Daphnia pulex: one gene and its partner. The protein of the gene in region 1 interacts with the protein of each later gene in a pairwise test. Links are inferred from orthologs where the notes say so. Each region holds a gene or a part of one and is shown on either strand. Other genes may lie near its edges.

Evidence for each region.
Region 2: the proteins of ubiquitin-conjugating enzyme E2-17 kDa (region 1) and myosin-VIIa-like interact in a two-hybrid assay, tested with the Caenorhabditis elegans proteins (2 studies listed by BioGRID). The link is inferred for Daphnia pulex from reciprocal best matches to the Caenorhabditis elegans genes ubc-1 and hum-6.

Annotation. Positions count from the first base shown.
Region 1 is NC_060018.1:6,446,033-6,461,387, reverse strand, and holds ubiquitin-conjugating enzyme E2-17 kDa, read left to right. Parts: upstream 1-7,348; 5' UTR 7,349-7,584; coding exon 7,585-7,628; intron 7,629-7,718; coding exon 7,719-7,799; intron 7,800-7,910; coding exon 7,911-8,115; intron 8,116-8,213; coding exon 8,214-8,339; 3' UTR 8,340-8,644; downstream 8,645-15,355. Other genes in the region: serine/threonine-protein phosphatase 2A 65 kDa regulatory subunit A alpha isoform-like, read left to right, coding at 248-439, 572-952, 1,039-1,251, 1,320-1,578, 1,645-1,769, 1,840-2,109, 2,171-2,405, 2,470-2,483; uncharacterized protein LOC124189052, read right to left, coding at 2,957-3,271, 3,331-3,819; probable citrate synthase 2, mitochondrial, read left to right, coding at 4,589-4,636, 4,855-5,004, 5,066-5,263, 5,317-5,505, 5,573-5,772, 5,843-5,946, 6,013-6,545; twitchin-like, read left to right, coding at 12,652-12,964, 13,098-13,119, 14,982-15,144. UniProt on the Caenorhabditis elegans protein: Catalyzes the covalent attachment of ubiquitin to other proteins.
Region 2 is NC_060022.1:1,960,136-1,976,545, forward strand, and holds the start of myosin-VIIa-like, read left to right. Parts: upstream 1-7,868; 5' UTR 7,869-8,079; coding exon 8,080-8,124; intron 8,125-8,490; coding exon 8,491-8,604; intron 8,605-8,868; coding exon 8,869-9,015; intron 9,016-9,088; coding exon 9,089-9,273; intron 9,274-9,421; coding exon 9,422-9,543; intron 9,544-9,604; coding exon 9,605-9,861; intron 9,862-9,946; coding exon 9,947-10,112; intron 10,113-10,200; coding exon 10,201-10,331; intron 10,332-10,390; coding exon 10,391-10,575; intron 10,576-10,644; coding exon 10,645-10,855; intron 10,856-10,936; coding exon 10,937-11,317; intron 11,318-11,397; coding exon 11,398-11,553; intron 11,554-11,629; coding exon 11,630-12,223; intron 12,224-12,291; coding exon 12,292-12,498; intron 12,499-12,563; coding exon 12,564-12,767; intron 12,768-12,845; coding exon 12,846-13,022; intron 13,023-13,110; coding exon 13,111-13,334; intron 13,335-13,403; coding exon 13,404-13,650; intron 13,651-13,714; coding exon 13,715-14,290; intron 14,291-14,368; and 8 more. Other genes in the region: H(+)/Cl(-) exchange transporter 4-like, read left to right, coding at 13-240, 317-438, 550-760, 848-1,011, 1,094-1,307, 1,389-1,473. UniProt on the Caenorhabditis elegans protein: Myosins are actin-based motor molecules with ATPase activity. Unconventional myosins serve in intracellular movements. Their highly divergent tails are presumed to bind to membranous compartments, which would be moved relative to actin filaments.

The DNA of each region.
Region 1 (15,355 bases):
CTGCTGCAGTACCCTATTACAATAGGGGTATTCATGTAAATTGTAAACCATCAGACAGCCTATTGCAACAGTCATAGCAGTGTTGTGTCAAATGTATTTTTGTTTAAAATTAAAAACTTTCTTCTGATCTACATTTGATTCAATGCTTCTTAGGATAATGAAATAATATTAATTTCATATTATTGTTGACACTTACTTAATATGTTTGTTATGTAATTTTCTGTTAATGACATTTCTTTACTTCTAGCTTCGACTCAACTCCATCAAGAAGTTATCAACTATTGCTTTGGCATTGGGCATTGAAAGAACTCGCAGCGAGTTGATACCTTTCCTCACAGATACAATCTATGATGAAGATGAAGTGCTATTGGCATTAGCGGAACAACTGGGAGCTCTTACTCCATTAGTTGGCGGTCCAGAGTTTGTTCATTGTCTTCTTGTAAGTAATATTTGCCAAACTATTTTTTTACATATTGAAAATTCATACATACTTGAGCTTTATTTTCCATCTTACAAACATTTTACTTCCTGAAATATTAGAAGACCTAATTTACTACAAATTTTATTTCAGCCTCCATTGGAATCTTTGGCCACTGTTGAAGAAACAGTTGTTCGCGATAAAGCTGTTGAGTCACTTCGTCTCATATCAGAACAGCATAGTCCTTCAGACCTGGAAACATACTTTGTTCCATTATTGAGAAGACTTGCATCTGGGGATTGGTTCACGTCACGTACATCGGCATGCGGACTTTTCAGCGTTGCGTATTCCAAAGTGTCGCATAATGTAAAAGGAGAACTAAGGGCAACGTTTCGTATGCTTTGTCAAGACGATACTCCTATGGTGCGTCGTGCTGCAGCGTCTAAACTTGGAGAGTTTGCTCGCGTTGTAGAAGTCGAATGGTTAAAGGCCGATTTGATTCCCATGTTCGTCCTCTTGGCGCAAGATGAGCAGGTTTTTAACACGTTTTTCCCTCTATATTTCTATCCGTTAAATTTCGATTCCTTTTCATATTTTCTTAATAAATAATTTTTTTGTAGGATTCCGTGAGACTTTTGGCAGTTGAAGCTTGCGTGTCTATGGCCGAGCTCCTTCAGCAAGAGGATGTCGAACAGCTTGTGATGCCAACTCTTAGACAGTGTGCCGAAGACAAATCATGGCGTGTACGTTATATGGTGGCTGATAAGTTCACCGAATTACAAAAAGCTGTTGGCCCGGAAATTTCCAAACAAGATTTGGTGTCCGCATTCCAAGTAGGGTGATTGTAGTCTTTAAAAAACATATTCGGAAATATCAAAGTTTATTATTCTAAAATCTAAAGGCGCTGCTGAAAGATCCCGAAGCCGAGGTAAGAGCCGCAGCTGCTCATAAGGTGCGGGATTTCTGCCAAGCCCTAGATCCCGCTTTCCGAGAAAATCTTATCATGAACCAGATTTTGCCGTGTGTCAAAGAGTTAGTCTCAGATGCTAATCAACATGTCAAATCGGCCCTGGCTGCTGTTATAATGGGTCTTAGTCCTATTTTAGGCAAAGACAACACGATTGAGCATCTTTTACCGTTGTTCTTGACCCAACTGAAAGGTACTCTTTCAATTCGATTTACGTGAAGATAATCAAATTCATCTTTGGTTTTGTTTAAATTTTCAGATGAATGTCCTGAAGTTCGATTAAATATTATCTCGAATCTGGATTGCGTTAATAGTGTTATTGGGATTCAGCAGTTATCGCAGTCGCTTCTTCCGGCGATCGTTGAATTAGCCGAAGATTCCAAAGTAAGTGCTCGTCTAACTTTCTCATCTTAGATCTAATAATTTTATTTTATTTTTCATTCATCCGAAACAGTGGAGAGTACGTTTGGCCATCATCGAGTATATGCCTTTGTTGGCCGGTCAACTGGGAGTAGAATTCTTCGACGAGAAATTGAACACGCTTTGTATGGCTTGGTTAGTTGATCATGTTTATGCTATCCGTGAAGCTGCCACGAACAACTTGAAGAAACTAGTAGAGAAGTTTGGTGTTGAATGGGCCCAGAGTACCGTAATTCCGAAAGTATTGGCAATGGCACGAGATCAGAATTATCTTCATCGTATGACGTGTTTATTTTGCATCAACGTGAGAAAAAGAAATAACCTTCAATTTTATTATTATATATATTAACGTATTCTTTTTCTAGGTTTTGTCGGAAGCATGTGGACCAGATGTGACTGGCAAAGTACTGCTTCCAACGGTTATTTCTATGGCGAATGATAACGTAGCGAATGTTCGTTTTAACGTCGCAAAGTCATTGCAGAAATTAACACCTCGAATGGAAGCACAGGCAACCCATAGTGCTATTAAACCCGTGCTCGATAAATTAATCACAGATACCGATGTCGATGTGAAATATTTTGCATCCGAAGCTCTTGCAGGTAAAATTCGTTTATAGTTTGTTGCATCAGCGAATAGTACAAACAATTGTTTTTCTGTCTTTAGTTCTCTCCGGCTGAAAATCAACAAAACATCCATCGGTAAAGATCTATAGATGTGACCTGCTGTCCCTCTAATTTCTCCTCTCTTAATACTTCTATTTCATCCCCCGAATTTCTACTATTGGCAAGTCCCTATTCTTTATGTAGTACCACTATCATCATTGACTTTATCACTGAACCCTTCGTTTCATGGGATATCGATTAGGACAGACACACACTCGCTACTCACCTTCAGCGACATACTTGTTTCGCATTTTTTTCGAAGTCCTTATCCCAACCGGATGTTTAATGTAGCTGTTCAAATGTAACCCCTTCCCCTCCATCATTTAAATTGAAAATACAAAGCAACGTTTTTTGTTCATATTCGATACGTATGAGTAGAATTGAATTAATTTTAATCGTAGTTTATTAGAATTAGAAATACAACCGTAAGAAAATTTGTGTAACTTCTTAAGATACAAAGTTTATAGGAGAAAAATTTTATACAACTCTTACAGAAACCAAAATGAATATGGAATTAAATTATTATTGCCTGGAATCTGATGTTGGATAAATGGATTGATTTGAAACTGACAACACTGATCATGAAAGGAAGATTCAGGTAGGATAGGAGTTTTAGAAATAACCATACAATCAATAAAATCTTTCAAAGCAATTTCAGGATCCCTATATCGCATTTGTGGAGCATTCTTTTCTGCTAGATTGTGAAGCCTTGTTTCATCTTGATCCACAAGCTGTTCCACATTAAATGAAATAGGCTGAAGGCGAGAAAAAATTTGCCTGGATGGATTCAAAACTGTTGAAACCTATACAACATCCAAAGATTATAGGTTTTCTTTAGAAAATAAATCATAAAAAAGAATACCTTTGAGTTTAATAATTTCTGCATTTTTTTATCCTTTTCAACTTTGTGGCTGAGTAAATTCCGAGTTTCAATCTCCAAATTCTTCAGTGTTTCAAGGTTTTTCATAAGGACAACAGAACTTTGAAATATCGGTTGGTTTAATTTTTGCTGGTGTGTTGCAGTGGTTGAATAGCTGCATAATGTTGAATTGTATGTTTTAGGTATCCCAACAGCTTGGATTCTTTGAAGTATGTCCACATGAGATGTTTCATTTTCAATTACCACAATAGGAGAGTTTATTTTACTTTTGGCGTTTGAAGTGTTGAGAATTTCAACGTGAGAACGTTTCTTGACAGACGAGAACCTTTTTTTGGTGTCAGATGAAAATAATTTGTTTTTACCGACTTTGTCTAGTGGAACTGTTCCGTTTGCACCTTTTTTCAACACTTTTACGGTCCCAGAGTTTCTTAGCTGTTGAGAAGAATCCTTCGATGGACGAGACCGCTCCATCTCACAATAGTGATCTTATAGATGAATATGTAGTTTCCAAAATAGAAATCCAATAAACAACAACCACTAGCAGAGTTTCATAACTATATAACTGCTCTGCAGATATTTAAAATTGTTAATGAAAAATTACAACGAACACTACGTTGTCAGACGGTTAATTTATATCATATTACTTGTGAAATATAAATGAATGAGAACTTCAAAGAAAGGTGGAAAAAATCGCAACGAAAAATATCATAAAAGGATTTTTTCTGGCTTACCACTCTTTTTATCTCTGGATCACAAATTTAAAACGGATTTTTCGACCATTTGGCAACGGACAATTACAAGAACATCGTCTGTTTCTACTTCAAAAGGCCCGATGGCGATCTTTGCTTTCATTTCTAGGGATCTGTTAGCGCCTCTACTGTGCTCAGGTTAAATAATAAAACCTTCCGAAATATAAATCAAGAGAATATAATAAATTTGGATTCCATAAACCTTACACATTCAAGAGAAATAGGAAATATCTATAAAAAGGAGTAAGCAACAAAACGGTAGCCGAATTTTGCCAAATATTTGCAATGTACAAGAGATGGCGCTCTATAAATCTCAGAGCATTAAAAAGCAACTGGAGGCATTTACACTAGATTATCTAAGTTACAGACACACGATTCACGAAGATCTGGTGACCTCGTAAAAGCTCCATATTTGCGGATCACGGTTTCGGTCACTTTACCCAGCTTTATTAACTTTCGTCATTGCTAGTTAAACTGCATCTCTTGTTGACATGGCTCTGTTTCGCACATTATCTTTGCGGTTAAGCTCCCCTCCTCAGGTAAAATATAATTGGTATAAGTGAAAAAATCCTCGACGTCTTACTTCTGTTCGAAACAAATTTCCGCCTTTCTAGGATCCATTTCTTTAAATATTGCAAAAATTCTTTCCATGTCTTTTTTTAATTAGCACTTTTGTTTCAAATGGTGCCTCTAATATATATAGTTGTATAAATATTGGTATTCTCATTATGTAACACATTTTATAATTATCCTGCAGGGCTCTATTTCTACCATTGTAAGAGCATTCTCTGATCATACTGATCTGAAGGATGTTCTTAACAATAAAATCCCTTATGAACAGGAACGTGTCAAGAAGTTCCGTAAAGAACATGGCAATGTAAAAATTGGTGAAATTACAGTGGATATGGTGGGTTACACATATGAACAAATCACATGATGAATCATAAATAACCCACAAAAAAAACTAGGCATATGGAGGTATGCGCAGCATGAAAGGTTTGGTCACAGAAACATCTGTCCTAGATCCTGAAGAGGGAATCCGCTTCAGGGGATTATCTATTCCAGAATGCCAACGTATGCTACCTAAAGCTAAAGGCGGGGAAGAACCTCTACCTGAAGGTTTATTCTGGCTTTTGATTACTGGAGATGTTCCAAATGAAGCCCAAGTAATATCTGATGGATATATCACTTGTATGTTTTACCTAACTATTTTTCTTAGGTGAAAAGCTTGTCTAAAGAATGGGCAAGCCGTGCTGATCTTCCATCTCATGTTGTGACCATGCTCAATAATTTCCCAGCCAACCTTCATCCAATGTCACAGTTCAGTGCAGCAATCACTGCCCTGAACAGTGAATCCAAATTTGCCAAAGCTTACTCTGAGGGACTTCACAAATCTAAATATTGGGAGGTAGGTGACCATTAATATTACATGTTTTTAAACACACGATATCAATCGATTGATGTGACCGTTATAGTACGTCTACGAAGATTCTATGGATTTGATTGCCAAACTTCCTACTGTCGCTGCCACAATCTATCGTAATTTATATCGCGATGGATCTTCGATTGGAGCGATCGATACCAAAAAAGATTGGTCAGCTAATTTCGCATCCATGTTAGGATACACCGACCCTCAGTTTACCGAACTGTTGCGACTTTATCTAACTATTCACAGGTAATGCCGTCTTGGCATTATAATTAAGTCAAGTTTAATTGGCGTTACTATTTTTTAAATGTTTTTGTAGTGATCACGAAGGAGGAAACGTTTCGGCACATACAGTCCATCTGATAGGATCTGCTTTATCAGATCCATACTTGTCATTTGCTGGCGGTATGAATGGATTAGCAGGTATTCTAATTTAGCACGGTTTATATGTAGTGAGGTCCAAATTAAAATGTTGTTGTTGTTTACCAGGACCTCTTCACGGACTGGCCAATCAAGAAGTTTTGGTGTTCTTAAACAAAATTACAGCTGCTTTGGGAGATGGGTGGACTAAAGAGGGTTTGGTCCAGCTCATTAAACAGCAGCTTGCTTCTGGACAAGTAGTACCTGGGTATGGCCATGCTGTGTTGCGCAAAACTGACCCGCGTTACACTTGTCAGCGTGAATTTGCTCTCAAGCATTTGCCCGACGACAAGATGTTCAAGCTTGTTGCCCAGCTATACGAAATTGTCCCAGATATCCTTCTGCAAACAGGAAAGGTCAAGAATCCTTGGCCAAACGTTGACGCCCATTCTGGTGTTTTGCTGCAGCATTACGGCATGTCTGAAATGAGCTATTACACCGTACTATTCGGTGTATCTCGAGCACTCGGTGTGCTGGCATCTTTGGTTTGGGATCGTGCGTTGGGTCTCCCACTCGAGCGACCCAAATCCATGTCAACTGATGGACTTATGAAATTAGTTAAATCCCTCCAATCCCAAGCCAATGCGGCAAAAGGAGCGTAATAATTTTGACGAACTGATAGTAATATACAACCTTACTACATGTTAAAGAATCAAACTTTTACTTTGTTTTCGTGTTGACTGTAAGTCGAATCCGTGTTAGATTATTCCTGAGTGTGCGACACCATCTCCTGGAATTTTTTCAATGCAAACCTAAATAGAATTTCTTAATAACGGCGACTTAACTGGAACAAGGGATTGGTACAAACACGTTTCGATGGTGTCACCTGTCATAGTAGTAATGAGAAGTTGATCGTCTGTAAAACCCTAAAGTAATAGTTGTAATACCCACAATAATAAACGTTTTCACTGGATGTAACTACACCGAAGAATTTTTGATTGATTTTGTGTTTCAAAATTTTATTTCAACTTCAGCGCTACTTTTTCGTCTTCTCCAACTGCTACAAGCCCAACACCCACCCACCCACCTCCCAAAAAGAAAAAGCTTGCATTAAGTTAATGAGAACATGTTTTCCCGGCAACTTCAAGATATTATTTGTTACCTGTATTGACATCACCGGTTTTGGGCGTTATGCACAAATATGGCTGGTTTGGAAATGCTGTATCTAAAAAGTTGTTTCTTTTCAGTTTTTTTCTTTCTTTTAATAAAGCTATTGCGCAATGACGAAATATTCTAAATTTAATTCTATTTTTTATGTTATTTTCTAAACAAAAGAAAATATTTTTTTCTCGTTTTTTTTCTGTAGCTACCTACGTTCATTCTTTTCATTGGTTCATATTGATGAAAGTGATTGAAAAATTGTAAATGGACGGTTACCACTATCAAGTTCTTAAATATTCCACTAGGGCGCTGCCGATTTCTAGTACTAGGCTACTAGCTGTATGGCTGCCCCAGTTAAGGATTTCTTCTGTTCTCAGCTCACTTCGTAACAGATTTTATGGTTTAGGTTGATCGATAGTCGATTGAATTTCTCTTCGAAGGATAAATTCTTAACGCAACAGTTTCAATAAAGTGCTCAGATAACTTATTATATCAGGTTAACTGCGTTTATTTCGGTCGAATAGGGTTAATCAACAATTAATGTCTACACCAGCCAGAAGACGATTAATGAGGGACTTCAAGAGGTTAATATACTTATTTTAAACTAAGCTCCGTTAAAAAAAGAAGTGTATTCTTTACGCTTATTTTGTTTTTATCTCATGTACATCCTCTAGATTGCAAGAAGATCCACCTGCTGGGGTAAGTGGAGCTCCAACGGACAACAATATTATGATATGGAATGCAGTTATATTTGGGTATGTTGAATGCTAAATGAATTTCTTTACTTAATTATTAACAAATAATGTTGGTTTTATTTCCTTTTTTTGCACATTGAATATTAATTATTTTTTTTTTAATATTTTCAGCCCCCATGACACTCCATTTGAAGATGGAACGTTTAAGTTGACCATTGAGTTCACTGAAGAATACCCTAATAAGCCCCCTACAGTGAGATTTGTGTCAAAAATGTTTCATCCCAATGTTTATGCTGATGGAGGAATCTGCCTCGACATCCTTCAAAATCGATGGAGTCCCACCTATGATGTCTCTGCAATTCTCACCTCTATCCAGGTAAAATATGATTCATACATCTAAATACTATGTGTATTTATGTTTTGATTGATTATTATTGTTTGATGATTGATTGAATTCTTTATCAATTTTTTTAGTCACTTCTTAGTGATCCCAATCCAAATAGCCCAGCCAACTCGATGGCAGCACAGCTATACAAGGAGAATCGACGCGAATACGAAAAACGAGTAAAGGCTTGTGTGGAACAATCTTGGATGGATTAGCTTGTTTGAAACACCAACCTTTGCTTTGCTTTTTGCCTCAACTTTCCTATATTCCGTTCTTCAAATTTCCCCAACCATCAATCAGTTAAGCCCAGGTCTTATGGACCTCACTACTAAGTGTTTTTTTTTTTCTTTCTCAATTTCCTTGTTGTATATTGCTGTTTCCCATTGGTGATTGACACCTCACCGTTATGTTTCTGCTTCAGAAAAAGCGAAACCTGAACTTTTAAAAGCAGGTTGGAATGTAGTTCAGCAAGAATCAATTTTTTATTCACGAGAAATACAAAAGACAAATTGAAATCCGATAAGAAGTTCCCAACTAGCAAAGACATCTTTAAAACTATCGTAAAAAGAATTACAATGATTGCTAAATAAATTTTCGTGCCCATCGTCCTTCACGTGATAGCTTAGTATAATTGCGAAATTCTTTACACTTGATTTACCTGTATTAAAAAAACCTTTTGCTAGAAATTTAGCTGTATCAGTTCGTTAATTTTACGTGGCCAAGTAATAATTAATCGCTAGAAATAGTGCATTAGTTATTATGTATTCATGTTCATAAAACAAATGGGCAAATTAAAGTACAAACAAGATTGTAGTATTGTAGTAATCATTTTGAAAAGGCTATAAGTTTGGATGTGCAGTTACTGCAGTAATCGATGGATTCTCCTTCGTCACTATGGAACTTTGCACAACCGATTTTCTGCATGGACAAACCGTGTAGGCCTGTATACCGTTTGACGTTTGTGTCGTTTGAATGAAATTGCATCCCTAGGAATGAACCCTTTATACAAAGAGAGGCTTGCGTTACGAAGCTTAAGTACTATTCGACAATCGGCCTACTAGCCAGTAATAGTAAACTTTCCCACGGATGGTTCAGGTGTGAAAACGAACGCTGGTGAATGCATGAGCCACATAGATAGATTAGGTATTCAGGAGATCAGTTTGCATAATTCCCTTTTTCATGATCGGTACTTGATTTCTAATTTTCGTTTCATGAAATGTAGTATAGCTATATTTTAAATCCTAGATAGAAAAGTTCGGCTAGTCAACTGCGATACTTTTAGATGGATGAACTCATAGCTTGAGAACCTCACCGCTTGGAGAAGAAGCTACGCCTGGTACTTCCCGTTCCGTCTATTGCCGACTTCCCGTGGCCAAAAACCTCTGACGATAAAATAAATAAATAAAATCAAAATACGAAAATTCCATAAATGTTGTTTAATATGAATCATGCTGTTAACAGTGATTCACAGTGATTTAAATTGTGTTTAGTACATAAAGAATGGATACAAAAATTGAAAAACATATTCTAGAGCATCCTGTTTCCTGTTATATTTACATTGGTTGCACAGTATCAAAATAACTTTGACTGAGTAAATGTCTGAAAATCATCCGTGTACACTATAAAGCTGTCCTAAATCCACTTTTAAAACACGACTGTAGAAAATATTTAGTTCTGTGTAATTCGTAAATCAAAGACATGTATTCGTCCTTTTACGGTGCTGACTGGATTTCCGTTCATTCGCAATAAATTGGTACGGAGATAAACATCAAATAAACTTGAAATAACAAAAGCCGGAGAATAAATTAAACTTCCCTCTCGCTTATTGCTTTCGTATGTGAAAGCATCCCTTCTGAGGTTGTGTGCATAGAAAACATACGAAAAGGTAAATCCAGCGTGTTTCCTAAAGAGCTATTTTTGGTTTGGGTTTATTTTCAGACTAGCGCGCTAGTAAGAAACTCGCTAGTATTCGAACTATGTGGCGCGCCTTGCAGGATCCACCGCAAAATATATTCTTTACCACCCTTTCGCCTCCTAAAAACGGCGACATATAACATACCAGAACCAATAGCAGCAACCTACATCAGCTTTTCGCTCGATCCACACACATTTTGACTACCCACTATTTAGGGTGTGTTTTTAAACCCGCCTTCGGTTCAACGAATACATTATACAGGAATAACCTAAAATGAGAAAAGTCCGTTTTTTTTTACAACGGTCAGTTTAGACCACGTATTTTTTTGCAGAAAATTAAATTCTAGAATCTTATCGCCATAGGGTTACTATATGGCCTTCATTAATATTGCAGACAATTTCACGTTTCTGTCTTATTCGATGTCACACAGTTTGGAAATAATGGCGCAGACAGCATCTGTTTTATATTGAAAGTTAATTTGAATGTAGAATATTGAGATTTCGTTTTATTTGAATTTTTCAACTCTCAAGTTGGCAGTTTTATTACGTATTTGATTACTTATTTAACGACATTTGGAATCATTCATGTCTGTTATTAGTTACCGGAATGTATGACTCAATTTTCATTTGGAAAAAAATAATAATACAATTTTATATTTTCTTCTTTAATTAAATTTAAATGAGCTGATTTGTCCAATTGCATTAGGATCCCTTGAAAAAAAAACACATTCTGAAAAAAGGTCCAATAGATATAGTGTCAAAAATGAAACAGGAAAATGTTAGTTGCTTATTTTCCTCCTCAAAATGGATTCTATTTTCTCCTTCTGTATGAAACTGGGCTTTGCAAAAAGTAGCTCGACTTTATCCAAACTATTTTAATCCAACTTGCTCGTTAAAGGTATAAAACTTGAGAAAACACGGAATAAAAACAAAACGAAAAGGAGAGGGAGACGACATGAAGAGAGACAAGAAATTTTTATTTTATTTTATTTTTTTTTTATTTTTTTTTATTCTAGCCAGTTCGGCAGATTGTTGCTGTAGTTCTCCCGCTTGCTGGGGATTTTTTCTTCACAAGTCCAACCGGTACTGTCGCGCCGTCGACCAGTCTATTTTCAGGACAGACTGGCTGACGGTTGCTGCTGCTAATACTTGCTCTTGCCCTTCTGGGATCCAAGTGATTGCTCTCCTCCACAGTAAGTCGTCTCCTCTGCAGTTGGCTAGTAGGTGTTGCAGCCAAGAGAGCTAGTTACATAAGCGCCTTGATTTTTTGAAATCACGCTTGATTCACTTTTCGCTTGATAAACGGGCATCATCTCTCGATCCATCGGTAGTCATTTCTTGTGTCACACGCCCAGTGCTTTCCATTCTCAACAGTTTGAAGTGAGCGTAAAGATACACGGTAAGTTTCTTTCACATCTTCTACTCTCCTCCTACGTCATCCTATCTTCCTGTGGGTTTTACAAGAGCGAACAACTTTCGAGAAAACAACAACATCCGTTGAGGGGGGGGGGGGGCAAGTTTGTTGACAAGAAATTAAGGATCAGCTCGTACTGAATCCGGTCATCTTCGAGGTTTTCACGAGCTCATATATAATATAGGACGCTAGACTCGTCTATATATTCCCGAAAATGTGTGAAATCAATTCCAGCGCAGTGCAACGATTTCACATTTTTATTTTCGACGTCGTCCACATCGCAGAGTCTAGCAGCATATGTAGACCTTCTTTCTTTTTGGCTACACCCGGCATTACAAAGAAAAAGTCAGTTGTAGAGTATGGGGGCTACTACCTTGAGCTTGGTTGAGCAAGCTAGGTTAATTTTGGGACGCTGTTCAGGAAATCCTGGCTGGCTCGTCTAGGTTCCTTGTTACCCATATAGTACCTCTACCTAGGCTCGTTTTCAAAGCGATCCAGCATCAGCTAGCTTTCGTTTCATGACCTCAAGTAAAAATAAGGTTAATGAACAGTGTATTGTGCACATTATTTTTAAGCTCGAAAATGATTTCTCTTCGATTTTCGCTTTTTATTTTTGTTTTTTTAGAAGTAAAAGGGAATTGGTATTGGTACTCGTGCACATCAATTGATGGCATATAGATAATGCGCTATCAAAATGCAAATCCAATCACAAAATGTATTTTGGTCTGTCTGGGACAAAATTAAGAACAACCAGAGAAAAGTTAATTAAAACCTTTTTTTCTGAACTATTTACCAACATCACGTCTGGGATTATTAAGTGGCAAAGCATAAATAAATGCTGAGTCACCATTTAAGAAAACTCTCAACAAACAATCAACATTCTTTTTTTTCAAACAACTAAACCTTAAAATATGTGTATTGCTCCAATAAGTTCTATTTAATTCGTATTCATATTACATAATCAATGAAACATTTGAATGTATAAAATTCATCTAATTTAATGCGTGTCATGTTTCTATACCAAACTTGTTGTTTTATTTGTCAGGATCCGGCGGCGATCGCATTTAGTACAGACGGGAGCGGAATCTCTAGATGTCCTAATCACTGGGAAGTTTCGTTCATCAGTCACAGAGAATCCCATTCCCGCCCTTCCCTTACTGGAAGGGTGGCACGCCTATTCAGGCGGCAAGTGAGCCACCATGGGTGTGAATGAAGAGTTGGCCCCGAGTTTCACTCAGAAACCGACACTTCGCCAAGAAGATGATGGCAACCGATTGGTATTCGAATGTCAATTGGTGGCCAATCCTTTGCCGGCCATCACTTGGTTTCGCGGCGAAACCAAGCTGGTCGAAAATGATCGCACGACGATGAAAATGACAGAACTGACGCCCAGCAAGTACTTGGTCGTCCTCGAACTCGATGATGTCATTGAAACAGATGCCGGCTCGTATAAAGTTAGTGCCCATAACAAATTAGGCGAAGTGGCAGCCTCAATCAACCTGAATTTCAGCCGTGAGTTCAAATTTCTTCAATCATCTTGATCATCTTTCATTTTCTTCTAATGCCATTTTATGATTTATCTCTCCGCACACTTAACCTTTATTTTCGTATTTTTTTGTTTCGTTTTCTTTTTGGTGGAATACAGCAACGGACGAACCCAAAGAAAAGTGAGTCAAAATTTCGAAATTTCAATCCAATTATTTGTAGACCTTAAATTACATAACAGCAAAACTCAAAACCTTATCGAATATTATTAAAACCGTGTAATTGGTTAAGACTGTTGATTTCTAAACAAATTTGAAATTAGCCATAAACTAGGAATACATCTGCACGTCATTATACGTAGAAAAAAAGTAATAACAGGAAGATATACCATAACCGATATTGATTGCCTGCAATAGTAACGAATGTAAAAAGTTGGCATATTTTCTTAAAAGACTTATTAGCTATATCGGTCTCTTCAAAAGGACTTGTATATAATTCTAAAAGAGAAAAAAGAAAAAAAAAATGTTTGAGTTGCTAAGATGTAAGAGAAATGGTGACTGAGTCGAAAAAGAGAAACGCCTCATCTCCGGTCGTGCGGACGGAGGTATGGAGAATGTCGGACTTGTGTGTGCATGTGGGGGGAAATGTGGCTCATGACTATAGCCGAGTCTGGAAATGAAATCACGTGACTGTCCCCTCAATTAGCTCTCACTCCGACACTGTCAGGAACTAGAAATAAAGAAGGTTCATCGTATATAAAGCTGCTCGTTTGACTCTCAGTCGCTTCTGTCGGTTGACGTTGGAAGGTGCAACGTTTCCTTCGAGCTTCTTATTCCCTTGTAACTCGGACAGTTGGACTTTGATCTTTCGACGAGGTCATATGAATTTCCCAATACAGTGATGGTCTACTACTCTTCACAGTGCGACATCAAGTGATCAGTTCTCAGCGTTAGATTTGCGCTTACTCTAACCGATTGCGAGATTATCTTGTGAGATTGAAAGATCATGGCTCCCAGGTACGTTCAGATTTTGCCCCATTTCATTACGACTCGATATAGTGTTGATCAAACAATAAACTGTAATAGTTTATAAATTCAGGACTAAGTGAAAAATATTTGGTATTTGACCGAATTTTGAATTAGAATTTAAATTGCGCGCGCGGCATTTAGTAGTTACATCTTGCCGGCATCCTGCGTGATTATTCATTTTGAAGGTGTGACAATCCGACGAGCGAATACACGCCGGTATATACGCCGACATGACGAGAGAATGTCCAGTTTAGCTGGAACACGCAATAAGCCTGCGACTTTGAGATCCCAAATTTGAATTTGGCTCACATAGCTCCCCCCCCCTCCACCGAACGAAATGACTAGCCATCGCTGGTTTTTCACGTTCTGTTTTCAGGCGCATCCGCCATAAGTTCGACACAATTCCTGTTCGCCGCTCTAGCCGATGTTAGTGTTGCTTCCTTGAGACTGAAAATAAACTCGACATCCTTTTTTGGCCGTTCGTTCGTGCCCACCTATGGGGTACGTCCATCTAGAGCGGAAAGTCAAACAACAATATCGACTGGCGTCTGAAATTTTTTTTTTTTTACTTTCGCAATCATTTGAGTTGACCAAAAGCAAATCAAGATGTTTCTTTATTGATAAAGTATTTATTTAATTTCTTCTGATAAATGCTGTTAAAAATTAATTGTTGGATTTATATTTATAAGAAATGTAAATAAGTTATAGAAATAAGAACGCTGTTGGCAGTAAGAGATTTAACTTAAGTAAGTTTAACAAGTTAATTTTTAATTTTTATTTTACCGTTTCTGAAAATATGTGCTCCCGGGTTAAAAGTCGGCGTGAATGACAAAAAACTCTGTGGAATAGTATGACTGTTTTTGAGCTATTAACTACCTTTCAGAAAATTTTGATTCGAAAATGGTGAATTAAGTAGCATAGTTTCAATTTTTAACTAATCAAGATCATAGCTGATAACAGTAATCAATCAATCAATCGTAAAGAGAAACCATTTAAATTCCAAAATTGTTTTTCAGGCAAATTGATGGAATCGCACCTACTTTTGCCCAGAAGCCATCGATCAAGCAAGAAGAAGATGGCAAACGATTACGATTCGAGTGCCGAATCTTAGCGGATCCTCGCCCTGAAGTCAGTTGGTTTCACGGTGGCACCGCAATCAAGAACGGCGGTCGATACCGAGTAAGTTATTTAATTTACGTCTTTATTCCCCCCTTTTACATCCCCTGTGAAAAAGTGTACACACTATAGAAAATTAGCCAAATATCTTTTGATTTAGTACTAAATATTTCTCGTAGAGTTAGAAACGGAAATTTACTAATCGTTAAACCGACAGCCGTTAGCGTCAAACATTTTTTTGGATTTCCAAAGAGATATCAGCAAACAGCAATGT
Region 2 (16,410 bases), on another chromosome or scaffold:
GTTTTATAATAGTGATTACAATCGGAATTACACCAACGTTAACGGAGCTATTGAGAGCGCAGCTGCCGGAACAGGCGTCTACACTGCCCTGGCTCTTCTTTTCCTGGCGTTAGTCTTCAAGATTGTCATGACCATTTTCACGATTGGCATTAAAGTACCCGCCGGATTGTACATTCCGTCGCTCTGTATGGGGGCGATCGTGGGACGTATCGTTGGCATAGCAATGGAGCAGTGGGCCTAGTAAGCGAAATTTGATGACTGTTACTGTATGAAGAGCACACTAATGATTATTTGACTTGTGCCCACATGATTGCAGCCATTATCCACAGTTTTGGGCCTTCAGGGGTGAATGTTCTACTGGAGATGATTGTATAACTCCCGGGTTGTATGCGATGGTGGGAGCGGCTGCTGTTCTTGGTGGAGTTACACGAATGACTGGTATTTTTTATTTACTTCTTAAAATTTATTTCCTCTTTGTGTTTTGAATTCCTGGGTGCGGTCAAACACATTCAAATTTTTTATTGTTTTCTTTCTTTCTTTGATTTTTAGTGGCTTTGGTGGTTATTATGTTTGAACTCACCGGAGGCGTTAGGTATATCGTCCCGCTGATGGCGGCAGCTATGGCTAGCAAATGGGTGGGCGATGCTTTCGGCAAGGATGGCATTTATGATGCACACATAGCTTTAAATGGATATCCATTTCTGGACAACAAAGAAGAGTTTGATTGTACCACCATCGCAGCCGACGTGATGCAGCCTCGGTATTACACACACACACACGTCAATCACTTTTTTTCTTTAATGTACTCACTGATTTGTTTCTTTGGCGGATATTCAATATTCTATAGAGGGAACGCTCCACTGACGGTCCTCACTCAAGATTCTATGACACTGAGCGAAGTGGAAAGCATTTTAGAAAATTCCAAACACAATGCCTTTCCAGTCGTTATTTCTCGGGAGTCCCACTTTCTGGTCGGCTGTGTGTTGAGACGAGATCTGATGTTAGCCATAGGTAAATTGATTCTGACCTTTTGATCTTTGGCCTTTTAAGTCTGACGAGGAAAAAAAAAATTGAAATTGGGTAATTATTTTAGGAAGTGTGCGCCGCAAACAAGACGACATCAGCGATGATTCGCTTGTGATCTTCAACGGTTTTGTGCAAGGAAACCCCTCGGCTTCATCGCCCGTAAAATTGCGACGCATTTTGGATCTCGCTCCCATCACCGTTACGGATCATACGCCGATGGAGACAGTCATTGATATGTTCAGGAAATTGGGACTGAGACATGTTCTAGTAACTCACAATGGGTACGGTTTTTTTTTTTCCCGGTTTAGATTGCTGTCAATATTCTTCATTCAGTTTATTAAATGAATTATTTTACTTTTCAGGCGACTATTGGGAATCATTACAAAGAAGGATGTCATGCTTCACATGTCACATCACCAGAGGACTATACCTTCCGTTTTCCATTAAAAATTCAGGTTCATCTTTCGTTTAGTTTTGAATGTCTGCTAAAAAATTATATTTTCACTGTGCATGAAATTTCCGTCGATCGTCATCTACGTGCAATGTTTGTTTGTTGTTTTTTTCTTTGCCGGCCATCCACTCACATTGTGCAAATTCTACAAAAAGGAAAGGTTTCTAGTCGACCTTGTTTACATCAACTGCTTAAATTCAATGGAAAATTATCTTTTTTTACAATTGGTATAGCGGGGCCGCTTTTCTTGAGCTTTTTCGGCTAAATGAAACTTGCGCGTTTTCTTCGTCGATGTTACGAGGATGTTTGAAATAAAAAATATATATATTATTCAGAAAAATACAGAGTTCTCGGATCGTTCTACCGCTTTTGCCGAAGCCGTGCGTCTAGAGATTGTGTTTTGTTCTTAGAAGAGAGAAAACAACAGGTAGTTTTCATCCGGCGACTAACCCTTTTTCTTCTGTTTGTTTTCTTAGTTGTTTTGTTACTCCTTTGAAGTTGTTTTTCCTGGGCATTAACTTGTCAGTTAAAAGTTGCCGCTTGCCGCGCCAGATGTCGGGGATAAAAGCTCATTCTTATTATTACTGTTCCGTGGCGGCCAGTTTTTCCCCTCGTTTTTTAACTGTAGGTAAACCTTTACCCGGTTTGCATGATGTGTTATTATTGCGCCTGACGGGTTTCATTGTGAAAAAAAAGGCTTTATTTAATATCCAATTGAGCGGATGCGACTGCGTCATGCAAGAATTCTGCTGCTCTCCGTCAGCGCAGAGTCCACTTCCTCCGCAAAAGTTGGTTAATCAAGCATTATAGAATTTTTTGATCTTACGAGTCACGAAATAATTTTTTTTTCTCTTCTTATTGTCCAGTTTAGTTCCTGTCTAATTGTTAATCCTTCAATCCGTTTCGGTTACACTGAAGGGTGTGTAATTACACGCCAATTGAAGACATTCTAGCTCTCCCACGACAGTGTTAAGAATGTTTGAAGAGAGTTCATTAGATGAATGATTAGCTGTGTGTTTATTCAGCTGGGCCCCTGTTTAGTATGCAGTCGGCAGCTATAACCTCTTAGGAGGTGAAAATGTCAGTGAACTTGAGCTACCGGTTATTAGCCATCCGCGAGTTTAATTGAAACATTTCCCGCAATCGTGATAAAAGATTCTCATTTGCGCTGACAATCGTAGCCAACTCAGACAACTTGAATAGCCAAAATGGGAGCAAGGTCGGAATTTGTTTTCCTGTATTCACATATATTCGAAAAGAGACGAAGATGATGACCAGTAAGAAATGAGAATACAGCCGAAAGACGAGCTCCATACTCCCGACACAACAACAACAACACAGCAGTCATCCAGCAGCATAAAAAAATGTATACATATAAATATAAATAAAATTGGTATACTGTAGGAAATGAAGGGCTTTGGTCTATCTATTGCTTTGGGGGGTTCCACACCACAGGTAGAGAGACTCTGGCGTTCGGTACATTGACTCGAGCCTTTGTACGCAAACCTGTACCGGTACCTGTCCTAGCCTCCTGTCTCCTACCCCCTCAAAAGTGGGAAGAAAAAAGAGATAGAAGACCCTAACTCTAAAGTCTCCTACACTCGGCGTCAGTCTAATTTTCACCGTCGGCCATTGCCTGACGTGTTCAAGATCAATCGGAATTTTTATTTCTACGAAAATTGGACCCAAATTAGCTAAACACACCACGTACATTTCGTAAGTGTTTGAAGAATTCAGTTCAAGTTATTTAATTACAAGCCAGTTAGAAGTGGATTGGTGAATCGAAAGGGAGTGTTGAATTTAGATTTTCAAGGGTGTACTTTTGTATACCACAGGTAGGAGCTTCGAATGGTGTGCTGAGGCCCGGCGTTGGCCAGTCAGTTCGTAAGCCAGGTGGAGGACTAACACCAAGACTGGCTGGCATTTTTGGTATCAAAAAGCTGGAAAAGTGCACAAAACAAGAGTCTCACCAAGAAAAACGAAATCGCATGACTCGGTGCCGCCACGTAGTCAAGTGACACTTCAAAACTTGGTGGATCGAGGAGTTAATTTTGTTTTTGTTATTCTTCACTAGTTTGAGGTGAAGTTTATTTTTTTGTCGAGTGATAATCAGTGCAAATACGAAATTTTTTAAAAACGGCTCAGCACCCGAATAAAACAAAAAAGCTGAAGTGACATTGTTGCCACTCGAGCATATCGGGCCTTCCTTTCGACTGGATTTCTTTTTTTTTTAACCCATAGGAATTTGTTTTTATACGGTGACTTGCTGCTGGCCAGAGATCAGGTGAGCATATCGGCCTCATTGTTCCTCTTCTTCTTTCTGTTCAGAAAAAGGAAATCCATCAATTCCATCGTGCGCTTTTTTCCGATGGAAGACGCATACCTGGGCCCGTTAGAGTAATTATACTTTCCTCGGGGGGTGGATAGTATAATCTGGCTGTCCATGGAACAGATGGGAACGCACGTATTCATTAAGGCCATTTCAAGTGCAGTTGAGATAACAATATAAATTAGTTGCCGTGTGACGAAACAGCAATCATTTATTTATTGAGTTTCAAAGATTTTGTGTTCGAGTTATCCAGGGCAGGCTGCTGGATAATTCCGTTGTGTGCGTAGGCTTGTAGACGAAAAAGAGTCCATCAAACTTTCTGGTTATTCCTCTTCTTCTTCTATATACTGGTCTTTTTTCCTTTTTTCTTACCTGTTGGCTTTTGGATGGCAGGTAGGGTAAAAGAAAAAGAAACCCTCGAGCCAGCCTCTTTTTCTTTTTTGCTATTGCTCTCTAGCCAACATTCAAGGCCGCCTAGGTCTTGGGAAAAGAAAAAAAGGTAAAATACAAGAAATTAGACGAAGAGGAAGATAACTACCACTGTCTGGAATAAGCAGAGGAAGACCGACAGACACAAAAAGTTAATGTTTCCCCCCGCGAATCAGTTTTTTTTAGTTTTGATTGCTTCCATCAATTGAACGAAATCACGGAGTCAAGCGGATTTTGTTTTTTTGTTAGGTCACGATGTCATGCAACTTTGAAATTGAAACAAAAGAAACTAAACATTTAACCACGAATCGATTCTATTTTTTCCATATTAAGAAAAGTCAAAACCAGTCGGATCAGCCGGCTCAACAACCGTAGATTTTTCTTGGTTTTCGTGATTTCTCTCACACAGCCGGCGTTCGCTACGCGGTTCATTCAGTAGGCCCACACCGAAACGGAAGCGTCAGCTTGACCACGCTTTCGTTTTTTTCCAGACATATTATTTTTACTACCTGGGCTATTCTCTCACAGCGCGCAGTAAAATGTATTGAAGCGGAAAAGAATCCTGACTAGAAAAAATTCAAATCAAGAATCTTCCATTTTTCTTCTTCTGGGTTCTCTCTGATTACCTCATAATTAAATGTCGTCATCCACCTTCGCTTCCAAGAATTCGTAACACTGCCGTGAATCTGTTCGAAATCAAATGTCGGTGCGATCTAGTTCGATTTTTCATGTGTCAATGCGATTGCCATACAGGATTGTCGGGTCATTTCCTTGTTATTCTGGTTTTTTTCTACGATGACTCGCCAACATGTTTGTGTGTCTTTGCAGTGGACGTATAAGGTAATATGTGGACAACTAGACATAGAATTTTGTTTTATTCTAAGGGAATAACTGGGTGAGATCGGTCGTAACGGACTTGGTCGAGGTCTAGAATCAGATAAAAAAAAAACTATTCCCGTTTTCTTTTTTCGTGTATTCTTGTTTTGCTTTTTTTCTTCTTCTCCTTCATTTTTCTTCTTTTTTAAATTCATTTATTTCCACGGAGAGTTGTCTGCTGCATTGATGTTAACGGATTGCTCGTCAGAAAAAAGCCACAAGAGTCACAAGCCTCACCTCAAGTTCTTGTCCACTATTAAACACGAAAATCACACGTGGCGTCGTTTCTTTTTTGTTAAAAATAGAAGAAATAACCAAAAAGCCGAGAAATTTGAGAAGGAAATAATTTTATTGACATTTAATTAAAAAAGATAATCGATTAAAGCCAAGGGGGGGTCGCTCGGTCACGTGAGTTTAACGATCAAGTGACGATGAGCTCATAAAAGCTCGTGAGTGTACACCCGGGAAAACAACTAACCAGATTTCTAAAAAAGAAAGAAAAAATGTGAATAAGGAAAGAAGGAAAACACGCACTAAAATTGTGACGAAATGAAAGAAAAGAAAGAAACCTAACTGGACAGAAACCTTTGTAATGTGTTACTCCCCTCCAGTATTGGACATGAATATAAAGCACCCGGAGAACTCCATTTTCCACCTTGAGCTCTGTGGCTGTCAATTGGTTTTTTGTCAACCTGATAATAATAACAAACGTCCTCATTTCCATGCATAATAATAACGTACCAAAATTATTGATTTATTGCGTATTTTCTGTCGTTCTTGAGCTGCTGCTGACCGTTGAGAGTTTTTGATGGTGTTATTATTTTTTGTGGTATAGTTTTTTCTTTCTTTCTTTTTCGGACTGACAGGCGGCGGAAAATAATTGCGTGCTGTGCCGCAGTGGCGGGCAGCGGTGAATAACGGCCCGCGCGGACGACCGACGACGACGGCGGCCTTGTGTGTGGACTTTTGGACGAATTGCCACGAATCTCCAGGACTTACCAAAAAATATAAGAAAATGGTCATCGTTTCTCGGGTAAGTCATTCATTTTTTAAAAAAATTCCTAGTCATCTTGTTGTTACTTGGTTCATGGAGGAAAGAAAGAAAAGGCAACGTATGTCAGTCATGGAAATGTTGAATAATGGGCATGGCCGCTATTGAAATTGACATTTCTCCGCCGTGGGTGTTTGTGTAAATGTATTTACTTCATCACGCGGCTGCTGAGCACACGGCTGTTGTTGGCTGCCTGTTGGTCAATGACCCTCTCTCTCCCGGTGATGGTGTACCTGCGCTCTCTTCTCCACTGAGAGATGAACAGCAAAAAAAGCCAACGCCCGACACACGTAACATACATTGGTCGACCGCAGCCAGACATTCAGTAAAATTAAACAGCCGATGAAACTCAACAACGCGCCTTTCATATATCCGAAACGGAAGTTTTATTTCCGGTTTTGAATGGCGGGCGAGCGGACGTCCGGTTTTTAAAATATCGGCCGACTGATGATTCCTAATAAAGCGAAAGGGGGTTAGACATTTTTGTTTGGGTTGGAAAACATTTTTAGGAGAGAGAAAAAACAAAAACAAATCCAACTGTGAAACCCAGAACGAAACAACAAAGACAGACAGAAAAAAGTGACGCAATTGGGTCGCGCAGTGATGATTTTTTTTCTTCTTTTTCCGGTACACACATCTGCTGTTATGTGTTTAGGTTACACCACAAGAGTCACACAAGAGAAGTGAGACCTCCACCACCAAGATGTTGTTGCCTTTTCTTTGGTTATATTGTTCTTCCAGGGCCATATTGTGTAATAGCGCATGGACTAGAAGAAGAAGAAGAAGAAGAAGAAGAGACACCCACAAAAGTCAGTTGACGGAAGAAGGTTCAAAAACATGTACTGAAGGAGATAACGGGTTCGGCAACAGTCTGGGTATTTTCTCTTGGATGGTGCGACCGCAGTGTATAGTATATAGGAGGTCGTCATCGTCATTTACCACCGTGAAAAAGAATCGGAAAACAATATCGCAGCTAATGCTATACACACACACACACACGAGATGAGGGAGTGCGTGTGTGTGTCTCTACACACATGTGTCGTCTACCGCCAATGAACGTTTAACGATTAAGGACAACGTATTCTGAAAGATGCAACGACGCGGAACTAAAAGTCGAGAAAACTGAAAAAAAAGAAAAGAACCGGAGGTAAAACTGCTGGCTGAAGAACACAGAGAGGGAATCTGAATCTATTCAGCGAGTATAGTATATAGCTGTAACTTAATGTTTTATATATATTTTTCCCCTAGCTGCGACTCTCAGTGTGGCTGCCAACTCATTCAAAGGCGGTTGTTGGAATCTCTTTTCGTTGCAAGGCGTACGTGCTTTAGACTCTTGCGGCCATCCACCTGCTGTTCTTTTCTTATTATTATTACGTATACAGTATACCTTTTGGGCTCTGCGAGTGTTTCCAAATATCTACTAAGAAAAAGAAAAAGAAGTGGACACTGAGAAAACAGCTGACTGTTCAGGGCGGTAGCCAAGCAATAAGTGGAAAAATAAAAGAGAATGTAATCAAACAAGGAATGTTTTTTTCGTTGGGGGGATTTTTTCCCCAATCCTTGTGATACGCAATGTGTGTTTGGACTAGACGTCAGTTAATGAATGCCAATTGATCACGTGAACTTTGAGTCATTTTCATTTTTTTCCTTATCATTTGGGAAGTAGAGATAAGACGGTGTGCTGGCCTCTCCCTGCTCGCCATTATCACATCAAACAGTTTGTTCGCATCGAGTTTGAAGGTTTGACGTCGGTTGAATTCTCAAGTTTCTGATTATTCGGGAGAGTGAAAGTTTTGATTTTGGAAATTAAGGGCATACGTTGATTGTAGTTCAATCAAGTCACGATCGTCCATGGTCTCTCTGTGTTGTCGCCATTATTTGTCAAGTCGAGATTAACGTTGGCGGCTGGAAGAAAAGATGTCGGAAGAAGGCGATGGCTCGTCGACTCAGATTCTTACCTACGTGAGTTCCTAATTTTCCCTAGAACTGGTGGGCACTTGTTGCCGCGTCCAACTTTCCAAACTGCCCAGTGCCCATGTGTTTTGTTGTTATTTCGAGGTCAGCACGGTTTTCCCCTTGCCAAACAGAAGGTGGACATACGGGCCAATGATCATGTCAATGTCCCATTCTTATTGCACGACAATCCTCCGCTCTGCTTCGTCCACAATCCCGTTACAACTTCATTTTTGTCTGTTTTTTTTCTTTGTGAACCAAGTCCACCCCCCGTGGAGATTCGTTCCAATTTCGATGGAAAAATATAACAAAATGTTGTGACACTTGCTCGTTTAATATGATAATCAATTTGGAAATTAATTTCATTTCTATTAGGGCGACTATGTCTGGATCGAGCCCAGCACCAAACGAGAATTCGATGTGGCGATCGGGGCCCGGGTCGTTTCGGCCGAGGGCAAACGGATCCAGGTCGTCGACGACGACGGCAAAGTAAGTCTTATGTCACCTTTTTGTCTTTTATTTTTCCCCATCAGCCGTCAGCACGAAATGGTGAGGCAACAGCACCCCACCTTTTGTTTCAAACCGTTTCGAAATGCGTTGGTGACCGCAAGTCTCGATCTAAGCCACACAGATAAGAGCAATTTAGAACGTCACAACGTCAAATTGGTTTTCCCCTCCTCCTTCTTGTGTATTTATTTGCTTAAAAGTGTCATTCACAATTTTGTGTCACATTTTTTAAATTGAATTGCGCAGGAACAATGGCTGACGCCGGAACGACGCATCAAAGCCATGCATCCGACGTCCATTCAGGGCGTCCAGGATATGATTTCACTGGGTGATTTGCACGAGGCTGGTATCTTGCGCAATCTGCACATTCGCTACAATGAAAGCATCATATACGTACGTCATAGACTCATTTCATTGATTTATTTTTATGAGATGATCAATTGTTGATTTGATTTTTTGGTAACAGACTTACACCGGTTCGATTCTGGTGGCCGTCAATCCCTACCAGATTCTGCCCATTTACACGGCCGAGCAAATTAAAATGTACAGGGAGCGGAAAATCGGCGAATTGCCTCCGCACATTTTCGCCATCGGCGATAATTGCTACTCTCAAATGAAACGCTTTCGACAGGATCAGTGCATCGTTATCAGGTGAGACTTGTACATTGTTTAATAGATTACATAAAATTACGGTCGAAATTCCATTTCGTCTTGGTTGTTTCTTGATGTTCTCAATTCTCAGCGCACACCTGGGTTACCCGAGATTAATCATTTATTTCTTTTCTTATTGCGTTATCAGCGGTGAGTCTGGCGCTGGTAAAACTGAAAGTACCAAATTGATTTTGCAATACCTGGCGGCCATTAGCGGGAAACATTCGTGGATCGAGCAGCAAATCCTTGAAGCTAATCCCATCTTGGAAGGTATTTATTAAAATAATTCCCCTTAAAGTATGAAATGACGTCATTTGATTTGGTTAATTAGCCTTCGGAAACGCCAAAACTGTGCGGAATGACAACTCGTCTCGTTTCGGCAAGTACATCGACATCAGCTTCAACAAACACGGCACAATCGAAGGAGCCAATATCGAGCAGTACCTGCTGGAGAAATCGCGCATTGTGGCCCAGAATCCTGGCGAGAGGAACTACCACATCTTTTATTGCATGCTGGCCGGCATGACCAAAGAAGACAAGCAGAAATTCGATTTGCAGGATGCCAGCCAATACAAATACCTCACTGGGGTATATACAAGTTCAATTTATTCCCATTGTATTTGTTATATAGTGGAATGCGTTATTCAAAATTGGGTTTTTTAACATGTTACAGGGCAACAGCACGACGTGCCAGGGAAGGAACGACGCCAATGAATTTGCCGAAATCCGATCGGCCATGAAAGTCCTGCTCTTTACTGAGCCGGAAATTTCCGACATTCTTCGAGTTCTGGCCGCTCTTTTGCACCTGGGAAACGTTTCCTTCAAAGGAGTTGTCATCAGTAAGAAGTTCATTTAACATTTTGTTCACGACTCGGTAAACAAAATATTAACGTTGGAAACATTCTCGCCATTCTTCCCTTTGTCCAGGCAATATGGACGCTAGTGAAATTCCAGATCCTTCCAACGCTATTCGCGTCTCCAAGTTGCTGGGTGTTGATCCTCGAGAGATGGTTGACGCCCTTACCACTAAAACCATTTTCGCCCAGGGAGATTCAGTGGTCAGTTAATATTGAAATTGAATTCCCATTTGACAGAGATAATTGAATTGTATTTGCAGGTATCGAGGTTATCCAAAGTGCAAGCTGTAGATGTTCGAGATGCTTTTGCTAAAGGTATTTACGGGCGACTCTTCATCTGGATTGTTACCAAGTTGAACTGTGCCATCCGCAAATCCGACGAAATGGACACGAGCTCCATCGGAGTCCTGGACATTTTTGGTTTCGAAAATTTCAGCATCAACAGGTATTAAAGAATTGACTGGACACTAGTTGAAATGGCGGAATCTAATTTGTGTTTTTGGATCGAATAAAGTTTCGAACAGTTTTGCATCAACTACGCCAACGAGAATCTGCAGCAATTCTTCGTCCGACACATTTTCAAGTTGGAACAAGAGGAATACAATCAGGAGAATATCAGCTGGCAGCACATCGAATTCGTCGACAATCAAGACTCGCTTGATTTAATCGCAATTAAACAGATGAACATCATGGCACTTATCGATGAAGAATCCAAATTCCCAAAGGTAGTATTACTCGGTTAATTTCAAATAATTGTCTTTCGTTTAATAATTGGGTTTATATATAATTCGTGTTTTTTTTTCCAGGGCACGGACCAGACCATGTTGGCCAAGTTGAACAAGACTCACGGCAGCAACAGGAACTACGTGAAACCTCGTTCCGATCTGCAGGCCTCGTTCGGTTTCAATCATTTCGCCGGAGTCGTGTTTTACGACGCCAGAGGATTTCTGGACAAGAATCGAGATTCGTTCAGCGCCGATCTGATGCAGTTGGTCCACGTGACGTCCAACAAGTTTCTGCGAACGCTTTTCGCCGAAGACATTTCCATGGGCTCGGAGACCCGCAAAAAGGCGCCCACTCTGTCGGCCCAGTTCAAAAAATCGCTCGACTCGCTCATGCGGACTCTCAGCGCTTGTCAGCCATTTTTCGTGCGTTGTATTAAACCCAACGAGCTGAAACAATCGATGGTACAATAAAAAAAAATTTTTTTCATTAAAACAATTAATTCAATTGACACATATTAAAAATAACATTCCGGTAAATTCAGGTTTTCGATCGTGAATTATGCTGTCGTCAACTGCGCTACTCGGGAATGATGGAAACGATTCGTATCCGGCGGGCCGGCTATCCTATTCGCCACACATTCCGCGAATTTGTCGAACGTTACCGATTCCTCATTTCTGGATGCCCACCACCTCACAGAGTAACGATTTGAAATAATGAAATAATTTTAATTATCATTGCAGATGTTTTTAAAATGAATCGATTTGTAATTGCAGGTGGACTGTAGGCAAGCGACGGCCAGGATCTGTTCGGCCACACTGGGAAAGACGGACTACCAACTGGGTCAGACCAAAGTTTTTCTCAAGGATGCCCAGGATCTGTTCCTGGAACAGGAGCGCGATCGAGTCCTAACCAAGAAATTGGTCATCATCCAGCGTTGCATCCGCGGATGGATTCATAGACGTCGCTACGTTCGCCTCAGGAGCGCCGCTGTAGTCATTCAACGCCAGTGGAGACGTCAGGCCCAACGCAAGCGCTACCTGGAAATGCGTAGCGGATTCCTGCGGCTGCAGGCTCTCATCCGCTCTCGAATCCTGTCTCATCGCTTCCAGCACTTGCGCGGCCACATTGTCGGCCTGCAGGCCCGTTGCCGCGGCTATTTGATCCGTCGCCAGTTCCGCATGAAGACTCGGGCGGTCGTGGTCATCCAGAAACACGTCCGGCGGATGATCGCTCAACGCAACTACAAGAAAATGAAATACGAACAACGACATCGACTGGAAGCTCTCCGCTTGCGCGACCTGGAAGAGCGGGAGCTCAAGAAAGCCGGAAACAAACGCTACAAGGAAATTGCTGACCAACGTTACCGGGTATGACATCAATTTGATTTCCAACCTATAGTCCAGTTTATTTAATTGTTAATTATTTATTTGAACAGGAGAGGCTGATGGATATGGAACGTCAACAACGTGAAACGGAACGAGTCAATCGTCAACAGCTGGAAAGCAACCGCGAGAAAATGAAGGAGGCGGCCATCAAAGAGCAAGAGCCATCGAATATCGACAATTACATCGATGATCTTTTCAAATTGCCGCAAGATTCCGGCAACGAAAGGGAGAAGGAGACGGAAGGCAAGCCGCAATGGGTAAATTTATTATATTTTCTATTGATTCAGTTTTCTGGTATTTAATTTTCGAATTTGGCGCACAGAATATTCCCATCAAGAAGGGCGACGTGGACGAGCTGATGCTGGCCATTCCGCCCAGTACCGGACTGGGCCCAACGGAAGATTTGTCGGAATATCGTTTCCAGAAATTCGCCGCCACTTTCTTCCAGAGTAACGCCACTCACCAGTATTCCAGGAAACCGCTCAAGTCTTCCCTGCTCTCTCTGCAAACGCAGGGCGATCAACTGGTAAAATGAAAAATCAGTCAAAATTTAAAAATGTGTCTAATTTTTTGTTTCAACCTTCCGTGCTGTTGAATGGTGTAGGCGGCATTGGCTTTGTGGGTGACTATTCTCCGCTTCATGGGCGACATGCCCGAGCCGAAATATCACTCGACCGAGCGAGACAACACTTCAGTCATGACTCGCGTCTCGGCTACGCTCGGCCGCAATTTCATCCGCACCAAGGATTTCCAAGACGCACAAATTATGAGCGCCGAATCGGTAAGACTACGGGTAGATTTTGAGCTTGCGAAACGACGACAACCATTTTTAAATGGCGTGTTTCTTTTATTATTACGCCCATTAACAGGAAGCCTATCCTAAAGGCACTTCGAAACAGCGTTCCATTCGCCACAAATTGGTTTCTTTGACGCTCAAACGGAAGAACAAACTCGGAGACGACGTGCGGCGCAAGTTGCAGGAAGAAGATTACACGACGGAATCGTACACTTCGTGGCTGGATTCACGACCCACATCCAACTTGGAGAAACTTCATTTTATTATCGGTCACGGCATTCTGCGCGCCGAGTTGAGGTAATTTCCTTAATCCATTTGGTTTTCTTTGGTTGAGAATCAATTTCATTTTCGTGACGTGTACAATAGGGATGAAATCTACTGTCAGATTTGCAAACAGCTGACCAACAATCCTTCGAAATCGAGTCACGCACGCGGATGGATCCTCTTGTCGCTCTGCGTCGGCTGTTTCGCTCCGTCCGACAAGTTTATCAAATACCTGCGCGCTTTCATTCGCGACGGACCGCCCGGCTATGCACCTTACTGCGAAGAGCGTCTCGCCCGCACCTTCAACAACGGCACCCGCAACCAACCGCCTAGTTGGTTAGAGCTCCAGGTAATCAATAATTAAACCTTTTATCAATTTGAACATCACCGATAATAGTATCTGTCATTTCCAGGCCACCAAATCGAAGAAACCGCTGATGTTGCCCATCACGTTCATGGACGGAAACACCAAGACTTTGCTGGCCGATTCGGCAACAACAGCCCGCGAATTGTGCGACCAACTGGCCGAAAAGATCGAGCTCAAGGATCAATTTGGATTTTCCCTGTACATCGCCCTGTTCGACAAAGTGTCGTCGCTGGGCAGCGGCGGCGATCACGTCATGGACGCCATTTCCCAGTGCGAGCAGTACGCCAAGGAGCAAGGAGCCCAGGAGCGCAATGCTCCTTGGCGGCTCTTTTTCCGCAAGGAGATTTTCGCTCCTTGGCACGACCCGACCGAAGACACGACGGCCACCAATTTGATTTACCAGCAGGTGGTCCGCGGCGTCAAATTCGGCGAGTACCGCTGCGACAAGGAGGAAGACCTGGCCATGATTGCTGCCCAGCAGTACTTTATCGAATACGGAAGCGACATTAGCATTGATCGATTGCTCACCTTGTTGCCCAACTACATTCCCGATTACTGTCTCTCAACCGGAGACAAGGCCATTGACCGATGGGCCCAGCTAACTGTCGCCGCTTTGAAGAAGGTAATGTTTTAAGGTCCCTAACTTTCCCTTAATGTTACTTAATTCTCTAATGGCTGTTCTTTTTATGGTTATTGACAGAGCTATTACATTAAAGAGCGAGTTCCTTCTAGTCGGGTCAAGGAGGACATTGTCAATTATTCCAAGCTCAAATGGCCGCTACTCTTTTCTCGCTTTTACGAGGCTTTCCGCTCTTCAGGTACATGTCAATTCATTTCGTTTCTCGCCCCCCCTGGCTCCATTATTGTAAACTCACAGTTCACCTTTTTGAACCCCCCGTTTACACGTCTTGTTTATAGGTCCTAACCTGCCGAAGAACGACGTGATTATAGCCGTCAATTGGACGGGAGTGTACGTCGTCGACGATCAAGAGCAAGTGCTGCTTGAACTTTCATTCCCTGAAATTACGTCGATTTCTTCTCAAAAGTATGTCGTCGTCGTTATTAACATTTGCACCGCGTCATGGCGAATATCTTTTGATATCGTTTGTCTTTTCCTTTTTGCGTGTGTGCAGAACGAGCAAAGCTTTCAGCCAGACTTTCACTCTGAGCACGGTGCGAGCGGAAGAGTTCACTTTCCAGAGTCCCAACGCTGAAGACATTCGCGATTTGGTTCAATTTTTCCTCGAGGGATTGAAGAAACGATCCATGTACGCCGTGGCATTGCAAGATTACAAAGGTGAGATCATTTAGAAAGTCATCGACTCGTTCATTCGACATTTCGTTCGCCTCATTTGAGAGAGAAACCGCACGCTGGCAATTATAACTTTTTATTTGTTATTAATAATCAACAGACGAAGGTGCGACATACTTGCAACTGAGCAAAGGCGATCTGGTGGTCCTGGACCCGAATAGCCGCGGAGAGGCCGTCCTGAGTGGCAGCTGGTGTTCCGGTCGAAGTGAACGAACCGGCGAGCAAGGTGACTTTCCTTCCGAGGTCGTCTGTATCGTTCCGGCCATGAGCAAACCGCCCGCCGAGATCATGGTAAGTCCCCCCCCCGTCTAATATAGCTACGGCGGAGCAATAATAGCGCACCACACCATTTATCCGCGTTTATTCGGCTAAATTGTTGACGATTTTTCACGGAGCCTATGCGGGGTGACACGTCAAAATTGGCCGGCTGACTATACGTGCTCTAATTGCATGCCTGATTTCCTCATTGGCCACAGAGGGTCTGCGCTCTTTAGCTATTTGTGAAGGAAATCTAATTGAAAGTGTGGGACGACAGTGTCCTCATTCTTTTGGCGCTAACCGGTTCTTTTTTTTTCTTTTCTTTCTTTTTTGTTGTTGAAAATATCATCGGGACAAAGTCGTCATCATTATTCTTGCTGACTCTGGACTTTGGGTCTGATACTCTGCGTGCCCAGGGTTCTTATATATGAGACTCGATTTTTTTGGTTTCCGTGACATTCCCGTTGGCTTGTGTGTGTGTGTGTGTTGTTGGGTTATCTTTGGCGGACGAAGCGGAACCCCTTCTGTGCTGAACCGGGCAACTGTATTGCGGTCTCGGCCAGTCGACGACGGCCCATAAGCAATAATCGTAAAAACACATTGAAGCTTCCTTACATGCTCCTTTAATTCCACAATTCCTGGACAGTTGAAGCCAAAATAACAAAAAAGAAAAGAGAAACAGGAAGGAAAACCCGAAATACGCCATCATTTTTATTTTTCAAATCATTTAAGCTTTTATTAGTCGTTCAAATGTTGCACTTGACTAGCTTCGCTGAGGTCAATTATTTTTTCCTAATATTAGCTATCATATGGTCGTCGACCCATGTTCAACCGAGTGTCTAAATCAGCCACTCCTTTCTAATTTATCCAAGTTAAAATCTGGAATGACATGGCCTCCGATTCCGCCTGTTATTTTCTACCGACTCCAAAATAAATGAGGAGTGAAATTTCTCGTAAAGTAAACACGCCAAAAATGCCATCAAGGAAGTCTGTTTTATGGTGAGCCTCCGACTCTCCCGCCACCTTTAACCTCTCGCTCATTTTTATATCTACTGTGTACAAAAAGAGTCAGAAAAGAAAAAGAAAGATCGTTGGATAAGTGGTAGAAAGTCATCTGAAAAAAAACAACAGCGACACACTCATTACGTTAGTATGCGCATGTCGTCGTGCTC